2 linked regions of the Lepisosteus oculatus genome follow. The protein of the gene in region 2 interacts with the protein of the main gene of each other region in a biochemical or structural test. Links are inferred from orthologs where the notes say so. Each region holds a gene or a part of one and is shown on either strand. Other genes may lie near its edges. The genes, in order: igf1ra and arhgef12b.

Region 1 (8,495 bases), on a different chromosome or scaffold from region 2:
CCTCTCTCCATCACCTGCTACACCTGACCCTGGAGAGCCCCGATCCAGCTGCCGTGATGGATCATTCAGTCCTCAATTACCTTCGATTTGGGGGACAACTGCACCGCGATCAATATGTAACTCAGTGATCGCTGGGGCGCCCTCAGCTCTCAAGGATCAGGGTTCTCGTCACCGAGCGGCAGCACACCGAGAGGCCTGGGGGCGCCGGGCCTCACCGCGCAGGCGCCGGCTCGGCTGCCCAATGGAAAGTTACCCAGGTCTGGAGCAGCAGCCCGTCAAACACACGCTGTTGTGACAAAACAACCCGCTTCTACATTTCCCAGCGTAGCAGCCGTGAAGGCTGAGCTAGCGTGCGGGCCACGACGGTCTGTGCGAGCAACAACAACACAGCCGGCCGCCCGAGCGGATGAGCTACAGCGGCGGGGCTCCCCAGTGATCCACTCATCCGTCTGCGTGTCTGCCGCATCCCCCAGAGCTCACCCTTCACCGCTCAAGACATCCTGGACCCCCCCTCACAGAAACTCTCGACCCCTGTCTAAATAAAACAGCTGTACCCTCGCCGCTTGAAAACGCTCTAGCAGCGCGCAAAGCGAAGTATCGGTCAGTGCTGCAGGACTGACAGCTGAGCCGGGCTGTCTTCGACGCTGAAATCGCCAGCCAAGGGCAAAGGGAATTCGTGGCCACTGTAATATATTTTATAACCATCTCCCGTTCGCCACAGCCGTAACATCTGTCAGCGACTGTCAAAATACATCTATTAATTATTAAAATACATCTCAAGCGACGACGGTCGCCCTGGTGCGGGCGCACACGGGCGCTGGAACATGTGCAGAAGAAAAGTCGCACCACGCCACAGGATGTGCATTATAATAACAACAACAACAATCATCATAAAAAATAGTGCGAACACTGGAGCGCGGTAGTAATTTCGGCAGTGCTCGCACGCGCACACGGCGTGCCTCCGCGGGGCGCGTGCGGTCCGGATGCGCGCGGCCACATGGCCAGCCCGAGCACCTTCTCTCCTCGGGGACCGGAAGCCGTGTCCCCGCGCCGCCACGCGCCGCCCGGGGCCCCTCTTGCACCTGATGTCCGCGAGCGTCCTGTCCAGCACGAGGATACTCCCCCCACCACACACACACATATATATATATTCCACGCTGCACACCGCGCGCCCATCGAACCTCTGCCCTGTAGTTCGTGCAAACATGCGACTTTTTTAAATCAGCCTGCGAATAAAACTGGAAACCTTGCACACACGCCGAGCACCCCTCTGTGCGTTCATGCAAATAATCCCCCCCAAAAAAATTCTACTAAATCCTACAATATATATAATTGTCTAGCATTAAAATGTACAACCGAAAAAGCAAGCAACGAAACGTGTTATTTTTAAAACAATTTCAATGTTCAATGCCAGTCAGAAAATCAAATTAAGAACTTACGGCTGGTCTTCGCAAGAGTTCATGTCCTGTTACTATTTCTAAGAAGAAAATCAGTCAGAAATAACTTCAATTGTTTGCCCAGAAAATTGAAAATGATCTGGCATCTAACCGTGCAAGTAAAATGGTTTACTGGGCAGAAAAGCGCACATGTCGGGCTGGACGAGGCTGACCGGGGCTGTCATTCACACCTCCCGAAACGAGCGAAAAATCTGTCGCAAAACTTTCCATGTAAGAGCAAAATTACTAAGGGGACAAGATAAAATCAGAAAAGTGTAGCTGGTCGATTAACCCATCAAACGCCTGGTTAACTGACTAAAATTAAAACAAATACAACCTTGAAAATATATAATTACACACGAAATTAACTCGAAATGTCACTGGCATTTACTAAAAAAAAATAACATGCAGAATAAATTAGGACGGATTATTTTTTAAACTGAGAACATAAATATGAAAATGTAATCCCGGTAGTTGAAATCAGTCGTAATATACAAAACGCAACGGGTAGACCATTTTGCTAAAACACGGGTGCCTCGTTATGAAGATGTTAAATTGAGGTTATCTCCAAACGCTTGCTAAACATTTGTATATTCACTTTTAAGAATATCAACCGAATGACACTCTATACTGAACATAGACTGTAATTGTAAACAACGTTCACAGTATCCTTTAAAATAAGTTTTATTCTGTGAACTATTCAAACTGATTGAAGTCCAACTTGCACCTCACCTGTTCAAACTTCAACGCTTCACCTCGTATTAAATCATTACCAGTTGTTCCTTACTGTTGAACCCAGTGCTAACCTACATATTAAAATCTCCCTGAAGTGTCTAGCTAGCTAGTTATAAATGAAAAGGCGATAAAGAGAAGTTAACTTCGGGGTCAAACTTCACACTACGTTTTTTTTAAGTAAAAGCTAGCAAACAGCACGTAAACGAGCTAACCACAACAACAAGAAGACGCTTTCAAAAACGTTATACATTTTCCATTTACGATTAATGCATTAGACGAAAGAACGGGATTTTGTAACTGGAAAATAAAAACTTGTGTACTTACTTTCTCCATTAGCCGGCCATAGGGAGATCACGGAGATAGACAGCAACAGACCCCAAAACAAGGTCAAAATATCCCTTTCTGTCCCAGACCTCATTCCTCTTGAGAAAATTCCCCCCCCCAAAAAAAAATAAAAATAAAAAAGTGTTTCAAAATGCCCCGTCACAAACCAAAAAAACAACCCTAAAACAAGAAAACGCTTCTCAGTTTCCGAGAAGCAGGCTTTGAAGCAAATTCTCCTTATTGTTGACTCCTGGTAGGAAGAACGGGAGAATTAAAAAAAAAACTTAAATCCTTGCTTTTTTAAGGTGATCGCTCGTGTCCTGTGGTCTTTATTTATCTTCTCCAAACGAACTCACACACACACCAAAAAAAAATTGGAGATGGAAAAGGCTTTGTTAGGCTTGCCAACAATACAACGCATGAAAGATTGCTAACGAAACACGCGAGTCGCAGCTTTCGCTCGGCTGATAGTCCGCATCCTCAGCCTCCATTTCTTGAAAGACCACGGAGAGGGGAGACGCACACTTCGCTCGCTCGCCAGACAAAACAACAGAAAAATACAACAACAACAACAAGCAGAAGAAGAAGCAGCCGCGCTGTCTTGTCGTGCCCCTCCGGTTTATCTGTTTCTCCCCCCAATTACAATTTGCAAGATCCGCCAGACGCGGGGAAGACCCTCCCGAGGCCGGGCTCCGGGTTTCGGCGAGAAACGCAGGGGGGGACAAAATGAATGAAAATACAACTCCTTCTCTCGCCGAGTCTGTCTGTCTCTCTCTCCCTCCCCCTTTCTCCTCTCTCTCTCTCTACGGCTTGAGCTCCATCCAAAATATCCGTCAGGACAAAAATGGTTCACCAACTGTACCCCCTCCCCCTGTCCCTCTCCCTCTCTCCTTCCTTCTTTCTCTCTCGCCCGCTCCGTCTTTTCTGTGACTTGCGGTGGATGTATCTATCCCTTTCTCCCACGCTGAAAAGGAACAGAGATTGAAAAAGGTCTCCGTCGAAATTTGCAAATGCAGCGGCACGCCGTCGTATTGTTGTTGGGGTTTTTTTTCTTTCTTCTTCTTCTTCTCCTCCTTCCTTCTTTCTCTGAACCGGGGGAGAGAAAGCTGAAGGTGAAGCGGTCTACTTTCCCGTGGCTACGGTCTCACCCGTCTCCACTGTCTGTGTCTGCCTGCTGGAATCAGCGCTGTAAACAAGTCGCCTGCTCTCACACAGACACACACACATACGCTAACTAGAGCAGACGGGAAAAGCTGGCATGGAGTTTCCCCGTCTGGCCACTCCGCTCCACGCCGAAAGAAACTGGTTTTCCTTCGGATGTTGTTTTCCTCTGATCTTTTTTTTTCTTCTTTTTGGGTTTGCATCGACAGTATTTCTTTTATCTCGGCCCAGTCAAACGCGGAGTTATCAGAAAACCTCCGGGACAGATAAATCACGGAGTTAGCGTTGGTATTTGTCTACAGCCCCGTGGCTGTTTTCGCTGCCAACCAATTTTAAATGTAAATCGGGAAGAATGAATGGTGTTAACCAAGCATACTAAAAAGAGTTTTACCGCATTGTATGCAGTTGTGCAACGTGCTCAGGGGAGTGCAGTGACAGATACATACTGTACATGTGCTCACAGCACAACTAAATAGCTTTCTGATGCAGCAAAAAACAACACAATTTTATGATTATTACACACAGCCCAGAACGACCAAAGTTTTTACTTTTCACTTCCACTTTATTCAGGTTTTGATCACAAGCTCCCACATAAACCCAGACGTTTGATTTATGTGATTCATTGCACTTAAATAAACCAGTCATTATAACGAAATATTTTGGAAAAGAGTATGTTGCTATTACTCTTTGCACTCATGGAAAACACCTTTTTAAGTCATAGCAAAAGCATGCAAAGTTTTAAACAACAGTGTTACTCAATAGGAGATGTCAGTTTGAGCCAGACGTTAAACACAGATCGCCGGCTTTGCAGACAAGATGATTGGGGCATCACCAGTCTGCCTCGCACAAGGTAGCATCCAGCAAACTAGAGGCAATGAATATATCACACTGCCTGCGCAGCTGCCAGCGATAACGCTGTAAGGAATAAGAAAGAATAACCTGTCACCAGTCTATATGTTTCAAGGCTTGACTTCACCGCAGATTCTGCACCACACAGAGTGAATGGAGACCAGCAAGCCCGGTCCTGGCATGTGCTTCTTCCACCTGTCTCTCCACATGCTGACCGGTGCCTGACAGGAGAGCTGGTGCCCACTGAGGTCAAGAGGTAGCATTTCAATAACCTGATCAAGGGGGAGAGGTGGCGTGATTGGAATAGCAAACCTGTCCTTGTCTTCTGGGCATATCCATAGGAGTGGGCAAGGTTAGGGTTGGACCTGCTCCTGAGCTCTTGTTTTAAACTCCACTTACCTTGTGTACACAATGGTGTCACAGAATGATTTGCGGGAGATATGTTGTTTACAGGTTACATCACCCTAATGTAACTTTCCTTGGTAAAACATGTTTCGGTGTACAACTGATCACATGACCGTCTAGAGCCAGGTTTCTGCCTGGAGCAATAACGACCAGTCTCTGCCGTAACACTGCCCATTGAAGTGTCTTCTAGCGTCGGGACAGTTTTGACCCTCAGCAGCCCTCAGAGGCCTCAGAGCGATGGTCCTTGGTACCTCAAAAGTGGAGAAGCACTGGTTTAGATTACATCCATCATCGTATTTAATAACATCTTTATTTGATCCAGTTAACACTGTTCAACTGCATAATATTGCATGGACACAGCAAGAAGTATGACAAGCGAAAGAAGGAATTTGTAAAGAGTAACTCCTTCTGGAATAGCAAGAACAGAGCAGACCAGCTCTGAAGGGCTGCAATCCGGGAGGTATTACAGGTCCCCCTGAATCAGAAAGTTTTAAATCCTTGGAAGAATTTCATTTTGTCCAAGTAAGCAGGTGATTTATGCAATTACTGGAGGTAGTTTAGAGGTCATTTGAAAAGAAAATCCCCCAACCCTGCTGCTTTCAAGTACCACAGCTGGCACATTTGTGACTTGACCGAACAAATTAACTTACGAAATCGAAAACTCACGTCTGCTCCACGTCTTTACAAACTGCCGATGCAAGAGCCACCTACAATATAACACCTGTTGGACTGGCCACCTCTGGTCACCCCTGTCATAGCAGATGTTACAGGATGAAGGAGCTGAGCAGTGGAGATGGAGGATTGAACAGGACAGTATCTGTGCTCGACCAGATGACTGACAACCGTCCGTGTAACATTGTCATGTAACCAAACTGTGTCATTGTACAGTTTGTTGACCTCAATTGAAGCAGCCAATTCTCAGTCCTTCATGAGTAGAGGTGAAGCACAGCCTCCAAGCTTTCAGCGTAGCACAAACTGGACACGTGCAGGGTCAGTGGCAGTAGCTGTGTGGTTGTTGCTGAGCCGAGTGTTTTCTACGATGTCGAGCGCGTGCTCCTGAGTCAGCGCCCTCGCCCGGATCAGCCCTGGAGCAGCCACTTGACAATGAGCCGGCTCTCCCGGCACTCCGAGCATGTCTGCACTACGTCTTCGCCCCAAACAACAGAGTATTTCACACAGCACCTTTCAGTAATCACGTATAGCTTACTCCATTTCCATTCTTCACCAAGATGGCCAGCTCTTGCAATCATATATATACTAGTAAGCTTCTAAAGTTTTATATTTGGCTATACATGATATGTTTGTAAGTGTGAAAAAAATTCAAGGGTATTGCAATGTAATATTCAATGTAATGAATAATAAGAAATGACAGGTTAACTGACTTTGGTATGGGTAACAGAATCCTGCCTCAAACATAGGAAAGATTCTGAAGAAGCAATTTGGTTGCTAGTAGCTAATTGATGGAAGCATCTCACCCAGCTGTGTTGTGAAATACAGTGAGAGAAGTCCTCAGTGCCTTGATTCAGACTATAGGCACCTGATTTCGTTTGCCTGAACTGGTTGGTTGCACGCACTTTGTGCTTTTAGATGATATTCACTGGAGAAATGTAATACATAGTTTAGGTGTGATTGCCAGCACTATTACCATCCACCTGAACAATCAGTCCATCAGCAACTAAAACTCCAAATCCCCTTGCAACGGTCTGTGTGAAGAGAATTATTGCGATTCACATGTACTTGACGGATACACGTCAAATATCTAGATGAATATATGTGAAACAGTGCACACAATCATCAGACAAGCATGAAACAGTTAAAACAGGAGCATCAATGCGGAAACAATTATGTGTCAATTTCTATTATCATAATCACAGATTTGAATGGGAGGCTAAATACAGCTTAAGCTTTTGAATTAAAAGCTGAATATGACTCATGAGGTACCTGATGGTGATATCGGTGTTATTTACAGTTCTCTCTCTGCTGTCAGGGGGAATGAGAGTTTTGTTTGTGTAGATGAAGGGCACTTCTGCAGGGCTTATAACTCTTGCTCTTTTTATCTCCAACAGAATTTAGACATCACGTTTGCCTGGAGATTGTGCAGACCGCCAGCCCCCCAGACAGACAGATACAGTAGATGGTCAGACAAAAAAAGGGATTTTTACTGTAGTTCAAAATGATTTTTTAAAATGAAAGAGGTGGTAACAACCTATAAATGTGAGTTAAGAGTTTAACTTTAAATGCCAGTATTTTATCATACTATGCAAGAGTAAGTAGGAAGCAGACATTTTTGTTGCTTGCAGTTGTGTCCCACTGCACATTTTGTTTTTCATCTCAGCCTCCACTCACCATTGACATTTAGCACTGTTTGCGGTCCCTGTAAATGCTGACAAGAGGAATCATTTCAACAAACTTTAAAAAAGGTGATCCTATTATATGGACTCAAAAAGTCTGAATGCAGTCTCCAGTTGTGGACTGTAGTCTCCACTAAAATGCACCTTTGTAGCCAAAATTTATTTAGCACCTTTGGATGTCAGGAAACAAGGCATTCCACAGTGGGCTTACGTCCTTTCATCATTCAGCTTTCTTAGGCTTCTTTCATCCTCCTGATACTCTTGATTCTTCTTCAGCAGATTAAAGGCTTTTGTAAAGTTCAACATGGTTGTAATGTTAAACACTTAACTTTCAAAAACAGAGTGCAAAAAACATTTTATTATGAAAAGGGGACAATACATATTGGAGAACCTTCTTATTAGTCGCTGGTCCCCATCGCAAGAACATATCGAAGGCACAAACCAGAGGAGTCCATTTCGGCCATGTGCTAGCGAGTAGCTAATTGATCCCAGCATCCCATTCAGCTGTTTACTGAAACAAGCCAGGTTATCGGCTTTGGCAACATGGCTGGCAGGCCTGTTCCAGACTCCCACACCCCTCATGTCAGAACCATCCTGGAAAACAGCAGCTCACCCACTGGTGACATGGGGATGACAGAGAAGGCAGTGGCTCTGATATAGCAGGCAAATTCTAACTGGGGGGGGGGGTCGACAAAATTAAACACGCATATTCATGTGCAATTTCATGCAGAAATGTGCAGTAACATGTCATCCTTCCACAGCTGAAGTATTTTCTCTGCAGATCAGGACAGCTAGCCCTGATAAAGAACCACTACAACAATCCCTGTAATATTCTCTAATAACCATAATTACCTTTGGTAAGTAATGGTATACCACAGTTTACTCTGCAAAAGTCCTACAGAATTTACTTCCACTAAGTGCTGTAGGATTGGGCGATGATGATAACAGTTAAAGAACTCTACCATAGTAAACTCCAAAATAGTGCAGAAAGCCATGATCAACACCATTGCAAACTATAATAATAAAATAATAATAATAATAATAATTGCTTACACTTATATAGCGCTTATCATAATGGACATGGGCTTACTTTACTGCAATATTTGCAGTAGGACACTTGAGGCTTTCCCACAGTGGTATTTCACCTGAGAGGCATGCCTGAGGTAGGTAATTAATGAAAACTCTGAAGCTATTTTATGAGCATATGAATCAGGAACACCCTATCATATGAGAG
Region 2 (8,609 bases):
TCGGAGAAGCAGGGAAAGACTTGGCTCGTTTTTTTTCCCCAGCTAAGAGGGGAGGGAAGCAGGAGGGTCAGCGGACAAGAAATCAAACGGGGGGGATCTGCAGATGGGAAAGGTCTTCGGGGCCAAGCCAGGAGGGAGACGATGCGGACAGGGCCGGCACCCGGGCGCAGGCAGGGACTGAGGTGCTCCGACACCCGGATGAGGTTTTGCTTCCCACTGCCCAGCCCACCCAGCACACCGCATACTGGGGAGCAGGGAGGCCGAAACACAAAACCCCAAACCCCTCTCCACACAAGGGGCAGGCCCGTTCTGGCGGGGCTGGAGAGAGACAAGCGGCCCGAGAGCCACTCTGCCGAGGAGGGTGCCGAACTGCAGGCCGGGCCCTCTGGGGGCCCCTCCAGCTCAGCTGCTATTCAGAACGGACAACACATCTCAGAGCAAAGGTGCTCCCGAGCAGGCAGGCCACGCCAACACACGGCCTTCCGGTCTCCTGTACTTGGGGGACCAGAGGCTTCAGGCACGGCCTTCGGATCGCACAGCTCGTGATCCGACTGACCCCCTCTCAGTCCCTGCTGGGGCACCGACACACAGCGCCAGGGGGAGACCAGCACAGAAGAGCACTGCGCTGGCTCGCTCGCTTCTTCTCCCCAGGATGAAATGCAGAAATGCCATTTAAATCACAGAAAACAAACAAAAACAAAATGAATTCGGAAAAGAAATCCCTCTCTCCACCCTGTCCCTGGGTAAATCGCTCCCCGGCACCTGTCGGGAGCAGTCACAAGCAGGTGAACCAGTCGAGTAAAAACTGACCCTGCGGACGGGTCAGCCGTCCGGCCCAACCCCATCCTCCGCCGGACCGGGACGTCACCCTGCAAGAACCCCAGGGGCGCGCAATGCAAGCCAGTCGTCAGACAGGCAGACCGCTGGTCCCTTGGCATGAGGGTGGCTTCAGTCCACATCGCCACACCTGCCACCAAAACCGCTGGGCACCAGAAGAAAGCACCGCAGGTACTGGAACAGAGAGCCCCGACACTGAGCACACATGCCCGGCGCCTCTGGGGTCTGAGCCCCAGTGCTGGGGCGCACACGCACGAACACGCAGCGGCGCGTTATGCAATCCAAGGCGCTTGTCGTGCAGACGGAACCCACTCCATTGCCGCCTGCAACTTCGCTGCGCGCAAAAGCACCCGGTCCTTCCCCACCCCGGAAAGCCGTTCGGGCTCCGCTTCGATTGCATTCCGCCCCTCGGAAATCTGAGCATGCGAGATCGTATGAGACCGAAGACGGGGGGCCCTTCGTCAATGAACGTCGCGCATATGTGTCACGCTCCGTAACATGACCGTATCGGCCACAAGGTCAAAACCATTCGGTGTGGGGAATACAAACAACCCCATCTCCGACCACCTTTCACGCAGTTCAGAAATGAAACTGAGCTTTGGACGTGCGAAGCCCACCCGACTCCCGCGTGCCCCGCCGCGCCGCGCGATCTCGCCCACCCGGCGCGGCGACACTGCGCTCGCTCCCGCGGCCCCGACAGCTTTGTTCCCACCGCCAGGTTTTATCTGCACATACTGTAGCATCGTTTCTCTCCGGATCAACGCCTGACAAACAGACTGAGGGGAGGGGTGATAAACCACATTAAAATAAAACATTAATGGGAGACATCACGCCGCGCCGTGCAAACAAACAAAAAAAAAAGACACTTTTTGCCTTGCACGCCTGGAAATGATATCAACAAAAGCCAAGACAAACGCCACCGCGAATCGCTTACCTGTCAGTGATTGTAGACTGTGTGCCGCTCATTGGGCTTCTGTTTCGAGTTTTGCTTCGGCTCTTATCCAATTAGCATTTTAACAAAAATAAAAATACCCTCCGTCTGTCGGGAAAGTAGCAGGTCCCTCCTAATATCCGTCAGGATGCTCTCTCTCTCTCTCGTGTGTGTGTGTGTGTCACAAATGCCAACAATGATACGAATATCGCTGAAGAACAAACCCCAGTGGACGAGATGTCGGGCAGACTTCTGTCGAGATTCCGCAGCGCGACGACTCTTTCTCCCACACCGGGCGCACGACAACAATAATGTAAACGGGGATCCTTCCACTGGAGCGGGAAGAAAAATTGTATCTCATATAAATAAATGGATCTAAAAATGAAGCAGATCCGGGCGATCGCTGTACAATCCTAAGAGAATCCGGAAGGGTCTGACGCGGGGAATGCGCGAAAGGCTTTTTCCCCCAAAAAAAAATCCGCAGGACGGGATTCCCGAGCACGCGTCGCCCCCTGGCTCCGTCTCCCCGCCGCCTGGTGCTCAATTCCGCCGGCGCACTGAAATTCCTATTGTGAAGGCGCTTCCCGGCTGGAAAACTCTCCTTTCTCCGGCTTCGCCTCTGTTCCCTTCGAATCCTGCCTTTACAGTCGGCGAGGTTCTCATCACACCACCGTGGGGTCCCCTCCACACCCCCCCACCCGTCCTGCTGCTGCTGCTGCGGCGGCGGCTATTTCTGTTTCTGTTTTTGTTTTTTTTTTAAACGATGCTTTTAGGAATATACATCCCTATTCGGTTTCCCCCCCGGAGCCGTGCCCGCCGTCGCTCATCCTACTGCGCCGCCCGCTCCCTCCCGACCAGCTCGGGGGACTTTCCCGAAGCCCGGCGCGAGCAGCCCGTCCCGGTCGCGCGACTCACAGCATTCCCGGCCGCGAGGACTCCCATTAGCCTCCCGGCTCCTCAGAGCCCCGCTGTCCAGAAACAGGCCCTCCTGCTTTGCCGATATTCCAATGAATAATGAAAAGGAAAAAAAAGACTACCCCCCCCCTCCTCCTCCTCCTCCTGCTCCTGCTCCTGCTCTTCCAAAAACCTGCAAATTCTTGTCCTTTTTTTTTCTAATTTTGAGATTCCCCCCTTCCCGATCCTTACATAGCAACCCGAGGCGCGCCCGCACGGCTGTGCGTGGTTTTTAAAACGCGATCTCCCCCCCCCCCTTGTTGTTTTTTTTTTTTTTTCCAGCAACACGAACTCCCAGATTTCCTCAGCAAGGCAGTCCGGCGCTTTCCAGGGCAAAAACTTTTTTGGTGTTCTCTCGATACTCGGCTTCCCTCTTATTCCCCGATCCGAAAACAGATCTTTTCCACAAAAAAGGGGAACAGCGAAGGGATGAGGCTACAAATCGAACCGGTTTCAGCTCCGGGCGACACTTCAAATTCCCCGATATGTTGGACTTGCAGACGAAATCCCTCAAACTTGCGCGGAATACCCTTCTCTCCGTGTCTCCATGTTTTTGCAATCCAGTGTTTTGCTTCTGTCCCGTTTCCCACCCTTATTCTTTCTGCCGCACGGTAGCAACGCTCCCAGATAGAAGAAACCCCTTTATTTTAAACTCTTCAAACAACAGACCGTAAACTTCTGAGTTTTTCTTTAACGGCCGCAAGTCTTCCTTTCTCTTCTTACAGTCTATTACTTTCAACAAATTGACAATACCTCCCCGATCACTCCGCCCAGACTGATCGCTCCCTCATTCCTGCGTCTACTTCCGCCCAACCAAAAACATATAATCCCAAAGAGAACTTTGGGAAGAACGGGGATCGGTATTTTTTACTAGATATCCCATGTGAAAATGGCTTTAATTTGTGAGGTTTATTTTCCTGATAATAAAGTTTTATAAATTGGACAAGAAAGTGAAATGTAGTATATAACGCGTGTTTTATTTGTGTTAATGTATCCACTGTGTCATTGTTTAGTTCCCATATCTTGACATCACGGTAAGGGAAAATGACATTTGTAAAACACATTAGAGTATTTTTTTTTTTTATTCTTTCAACTCGATGCCCAAGCAATATTACGTGGATGATGCTTGGAAACCGAGTATATTATGTCATTAAAACGACGTGCGGCAAGCTGAGATTGTATCGTGTCAAATTGTCACGGTACCTAAAACGCAGCCATCGCCTGGTAGATAGTATTGACCTCCCTTATAATTGCATCACACCCTCCGAGTTTCGCCAGGTCTTTTCTGTAAGACTGGTGGGGGCGCTTACGCTTAGTGAATTGAGTGGGTTTTATCAAGGCTGCCTGACGTTTTGTGCTCGTCAGTTCCCCGACTACGTGACAGAACAGCATGGAATGCAAGGCGCTCTGCCGTTAAGACAATCGTCTCTCGCAGAGGGTAAAGTCTGCACACAAATTAAGCAATTAAGCGGGCAGTTATCGGATCCACTAGAGGCTGTGCAGAGAGATTTATCAGGAGCTCGATTTCCTGGCTGTCCCACAGCCCCAGTGACCTCTTTCATCGTTACACAGTTGCTAGAATTTGTAAGTTTTTTTTATGTCGGAAGACATCAGAAGCCAGCACAAAATACATCCCGTGAATAATGATACTAATGCTTGTACTGGGTTAGAAAAAGGAGGTTCCTTTTTTACACAAAGAGTGGCGAGTGTCTGGAGCAAACTGCCCAGCTATGTTATTGAAGCCAGATTCCTGGGATATTTCGAGAGGTGGCTGGATCAACAGCAGCTAAACAAGCAGAGCGCTCCTTCCTGTGACTTCTCTTTCGTTCTTACGTTCGTGAAGAGAGCAGGTCTCAGCTACTCCTCCTTAGAGGGAGAGTCAGCAAAACCCGAAGTGGATCTCCTCCCTGGAGGAGGACACAAGCCGCCAGGGTTCACCTGGGAGACGGGTTAGGCGTCCAGTCGTGGTGGTGGACCGCGGCGTGTCGTGCACCTCGTTAACAAACAGAGAGAGCTCAGAAAGCTGTAAGATCGGCCCAGTTAAGCCAGTACCCAGCTGTTTAAGCCCGTGAAGAGATGACCTGGAATGAAAACCCATATACATACACCAGACCTCCAGGGCCAGGACTGGACACGCATAACGGAAGTGCTCAGACCAGTTATATATGAAATGTATTTGTTTAACCACCGTACAGTGTGGTGTCTAGGCCTACAGGATCCTGAGGCACCTTGCAGGTTCTGAACTACAGGGATCACTTTGGTGAGAAAACCTCATTACCATTCGGCCACTGACCCAGAACATAGGGCTGTATGCAGACGCTCAAGCCAGTAGCAATGTCACTCTGTAACTCACAACTGGCAGCCCCACTGGAGCTCAGCAGGTGTGAGCCTGGTCAGTACCTGGATGGGAGACTCCTGGGAAAAACTAAGGCTGCTGCTGGAAGAGGTGTTAGTAGGACCAGCAGGGGGCGCTCACCCTGTGGTCCACGTGGGTCCTAATGCCCCAGTATAGTGACGGGGACACTATATTGTAAACAGGCGCCGTCCTTCGGATGAGACGTAAAACCGAGGTCCTGACTCTCTGTGGTCATAAAAAATCCCAGGGTGTTTCTAGAAAAAATTAGGGGTGTAACCCTGCTGTCCTGGCCAACTTTCCCGTTGGCCCTTATCAATCATGGCCTCCTAATAATCCCCCTCTATGAATTGGCTTCCTTGCTCTCCTCCCCACTGAGAGCTGGTGTGTGGTGAGCGTTCTGGGCACAATGGCTGCCCTTGCATCATCATAGCTGCACATTGGTGTGGTGCAGGGGATCCCCATTACCTGTAAAGCATTTTGAGTGGAGTGTCCAGAAAAGCACTATGTAAGTGTAAGCAATTATTATTATTATTATTATTATTATTAGTTTAGGTGAGTAGCTTTGTCAGCATGCGTAGGCTGCAAAGAAACAAGTAATAGGTTTATTCCATACTCCACCTGAAGGTAACAAACCTATTTCTTGTTCATTATTATTCTCTAGAAATAAAAGTGGACACAGCCTCGCCCCTTCGCAGTGAAAACAGGGCCATTCCTCCAGGATTTAGTCATGAGAGAATCCGAGCATGCTCGCATCCCGGCTCGGGTTTTTTTTTTACTGTTTCCTACTTTTCAGTTAATGATTTACAAAAAAAGAATATTTCTTCGCAGATCTGCGCCGGATAAATGCAATGCTTATCTCCGGGTGTTATCTCTAAACAAACAAGGATCCCTGATGTAATGTCTGAAAGCAGGGCTGTGTGATTCCTAGCGCGGCCTACAAGCTGCACAGAGGTCGGTCCCGACCATCGCGATCGATGTGAACGGCTTCCTAAAATCCGATGACCAGCATCAGTCCCCCGGAAGCTGGAGAGCTCAGAGCCCCCTGGGAATTCAATACTTTTTAAAGCGCCTGTCATATCTGACGTCCTCCTCAAGGCAGAAATCAATGCAATCGCAGCCAAGGGGCTGTATGCGTTTCCGAAATGAGTAGCTGTTCATTTCTTATTAGAAAATGCTGCAAAGTTGTAAAGCGATCCAAAAATGTTTCAAGGTCCCAAGAATGACAAAAAATAGTTGAGACGTGTAAATGTTTGTTTTTTTTTTGGTTTTGCATTTGTGACCATGTAAAATAGGTATGAAACGAGACGTGCACCACATTTTATTGCATTTCTCACATAATGTCCCAGCCTCTGTCCCAGTCCTCCCTTCACGGGAAGATGACAGATGAAGAAGATTCACGGGAAGATGACAGATTAAGTCTGTAATAGGGGGTCCGGAACTTCAGTTTTACAAAAGTCGCGACGGAGAGTCGGAAGTAGTAAGATGCAATATTGATTTTAGGACGGAAGCCGGCAAAGAAGACTTCATGGTTACGAACACAAACAAATCAAAGTCAAGTTGAAAATATAAGATAAAGCACCATTTCATGTCCATCAGGCCTGCGATGCTTTTTGTTCTGGACTAGTAAGTTTACAGCCAGTGATGGGAAAAATACTTAATTGTGACCATGATCATGTAACGAACGTAGTCAAATACAATTGCTCGTGTAGGGGTCTGTTATGTTTAATAGTTTCTCTACGATAACCTCATACTGTACATGCAATACAGATCAATGTTTAAGTATTTCCCCCGACCCCAAATTCATGTTAATTTTACAAAAGTAACCCCTTACATAAGCAACTTGCATCTGAGTGGACTTTCCACTTGACTCCCAGTACCCGAGTGCCAAATTCGGCGTTTTGTTTGCAAAACTAAAGCATGCGAAAAAGTGGAGTAACCTGCCACCTACCGGACAGATGGCAATATTACATGTTTCTCTGACAATCGGAGTAATTGAACAATTCCTGACCAGATCAACTGCAGCGTTTCCTGAAAGGCAGGTAAGTAATGTAAATTGGAACCTGCAAAGGAGTTAAAGAAAGCAACAGTTCCTCGGATTTCCACTTTTTATGTGCATAAAGCATTCTCGGAGATGATTTGAGTTTGTGATAATGAGTAAGGGTGTCGCAGAGTGGCACAGTGGTTAGCATTGCAGTGCTGGGGCTCTGGGTTCAATTTCAGACCTGGGATGCTGTCTGTTTGGAGTTTGTATGTTCTCCCCATGTTCACCTGTGTTTCCTCTGGGTGCTCCAGTTTCCTCCCACAGTCCAAAAACGTGCAGGTGGGTTAATTGGCTTAAAGGAACATTGGCCCAGGTGTGAGTGAATGTGTTTATGTCTGTGTCTGTGTGTGCCCTGCCTTGGACTGGTGTCCCCTCCAGGGTGTACCCTGCCTCGAGCCCTTTGCCTGCTGGGATAGTCTCCGAATTAGACCCTGAATTGGAAGAAGTGGTTACAAATTGGATGGATAATGAGTTACTCTCCACTGACATATCTGAACTTATACTTCCAGTCAACCTATTTCTGATATGAAATGTGCTACAGCATCCTCACCCATGAACTATTCTAACTTTTACTAAATAAACATCTGGTCATCACTTTGATCCTTTGAGTTTTTGAGTCTTATTTTCACCCCAAAGACATTTCTGAAAACATTGTCCCTCTCAGTGATTTTTGTGAATATAACAGTCCTAAACAGACTGTTGACTACCAATGACTACTGATGTATGCAGCGGAATCTGTAAAATGCAAAAGGAAAGTAAAAGGAATTAAGTTCTGTTTTTTCTAATAAAGACATCACCAGCCCCACATTGTACTGAATTTCAATGTTTTAATTAATGTCAATACAAACTTGAACTCTCATTTAAAAATATTCTAGTTATATGACATTTTAATTCCACAAAATAAGACCTCCAGTTGTTTGATGTGTTTTAGCTTTTTATGTATGAGCTCGTTTCACAATCGACTCAGCAGGTGATCAATGAAGAAGCTGTTTCTGTGTACTGTGGTAAAGGGAACCTACCCTCCAAATTCCCCAGGATGAAGATAAACCAAGGAAGTTTACAAACAGCCCTCTGGACTCGTCCCCATCATGACTGAAGGGATAAAAACGCTTCATTTTAATAACACAGGATATCATATTTTCAGTCAAAACCAGTTTCAATGGTATTCAAAAGTGGCTTTACAGTTTCAAAAGTGTAAAAAATATTCATATTACCAACCATGTCGTAAGAATACAGAATAAGGTGTCTTAATGTAGTTTATAAATAGGTCCAAAGGCAAAAGGATCCAAAATCTGTGCAAAATCATTATTCTGAAGCCCCGCCTCTCTCTTCCGACAATCCTGAACGTCCTTGGCTTGAAACAACCAGTCTCTCTCTCCCCGCCGGACCACGGGGCCCAGAGCCACGCGTTCCCGGCGCACCGGACGCGTGAAACCCGGAACAGCGCGGCCCCAGCTCGCCGCCTCGCGCCAGGCCCGGCCAGTTCCGGC

What was found.
Region 1: the proteins of arhgef12b (region 2) and igf1ra form a complex in vitro, tested with the Homo sapiens proteins (2 studies listed by BioGRID and IntAct, with this or other methods). The link is inferred for Lepisosteus oculatus from reciprocal best matches to the Homo sapiens genes ARHGEF12 and IGF1R.

The regions. Positions count from the first base shown.
Region 1 is NC_090700.1:54,513,659-54,522,153, forward strand, and holds the start of igf1ra (insulin-like growth factor 1 receptor), read right to left. Parts: upstream 3,718-8,495; 5' UTR 2,590-3,717; coding exon 2,496-2,589; intron 1-2,495. UniProt on the Homo sapiens protein: Receptor tyrosine kinase which mediates actions of insulin-like growth factor 1 (IGF1). Binds IGF1 with high affinity and IGF2 and insulin (INS) with a lower affinity. The activated IGF1R is involved in cell growth and survival control.
Region 2 is NC_090718.1:14,317,559-14,326,167, reverse strand, and holds the start of arhgef12b (rho guanine nucleotide exchange factor 12), read right to left. Parts: upstream 3,510-8,609; 5' UTR 1,804-3,509; coding exon 1,772-1,803; intron 1-1,771. UniProt on the Homo sapiens protein: May play a role in the regulation of RhoA GTPase by guanine nucleotide-binding alpha-12 (GNA12) and alpha-13 (GNA13). Acts as guanine nucleotide exchange factor (GEF) for RhoA GTPase and may act as GTPase-activating protein (GAP) for GNA12 and GNA13.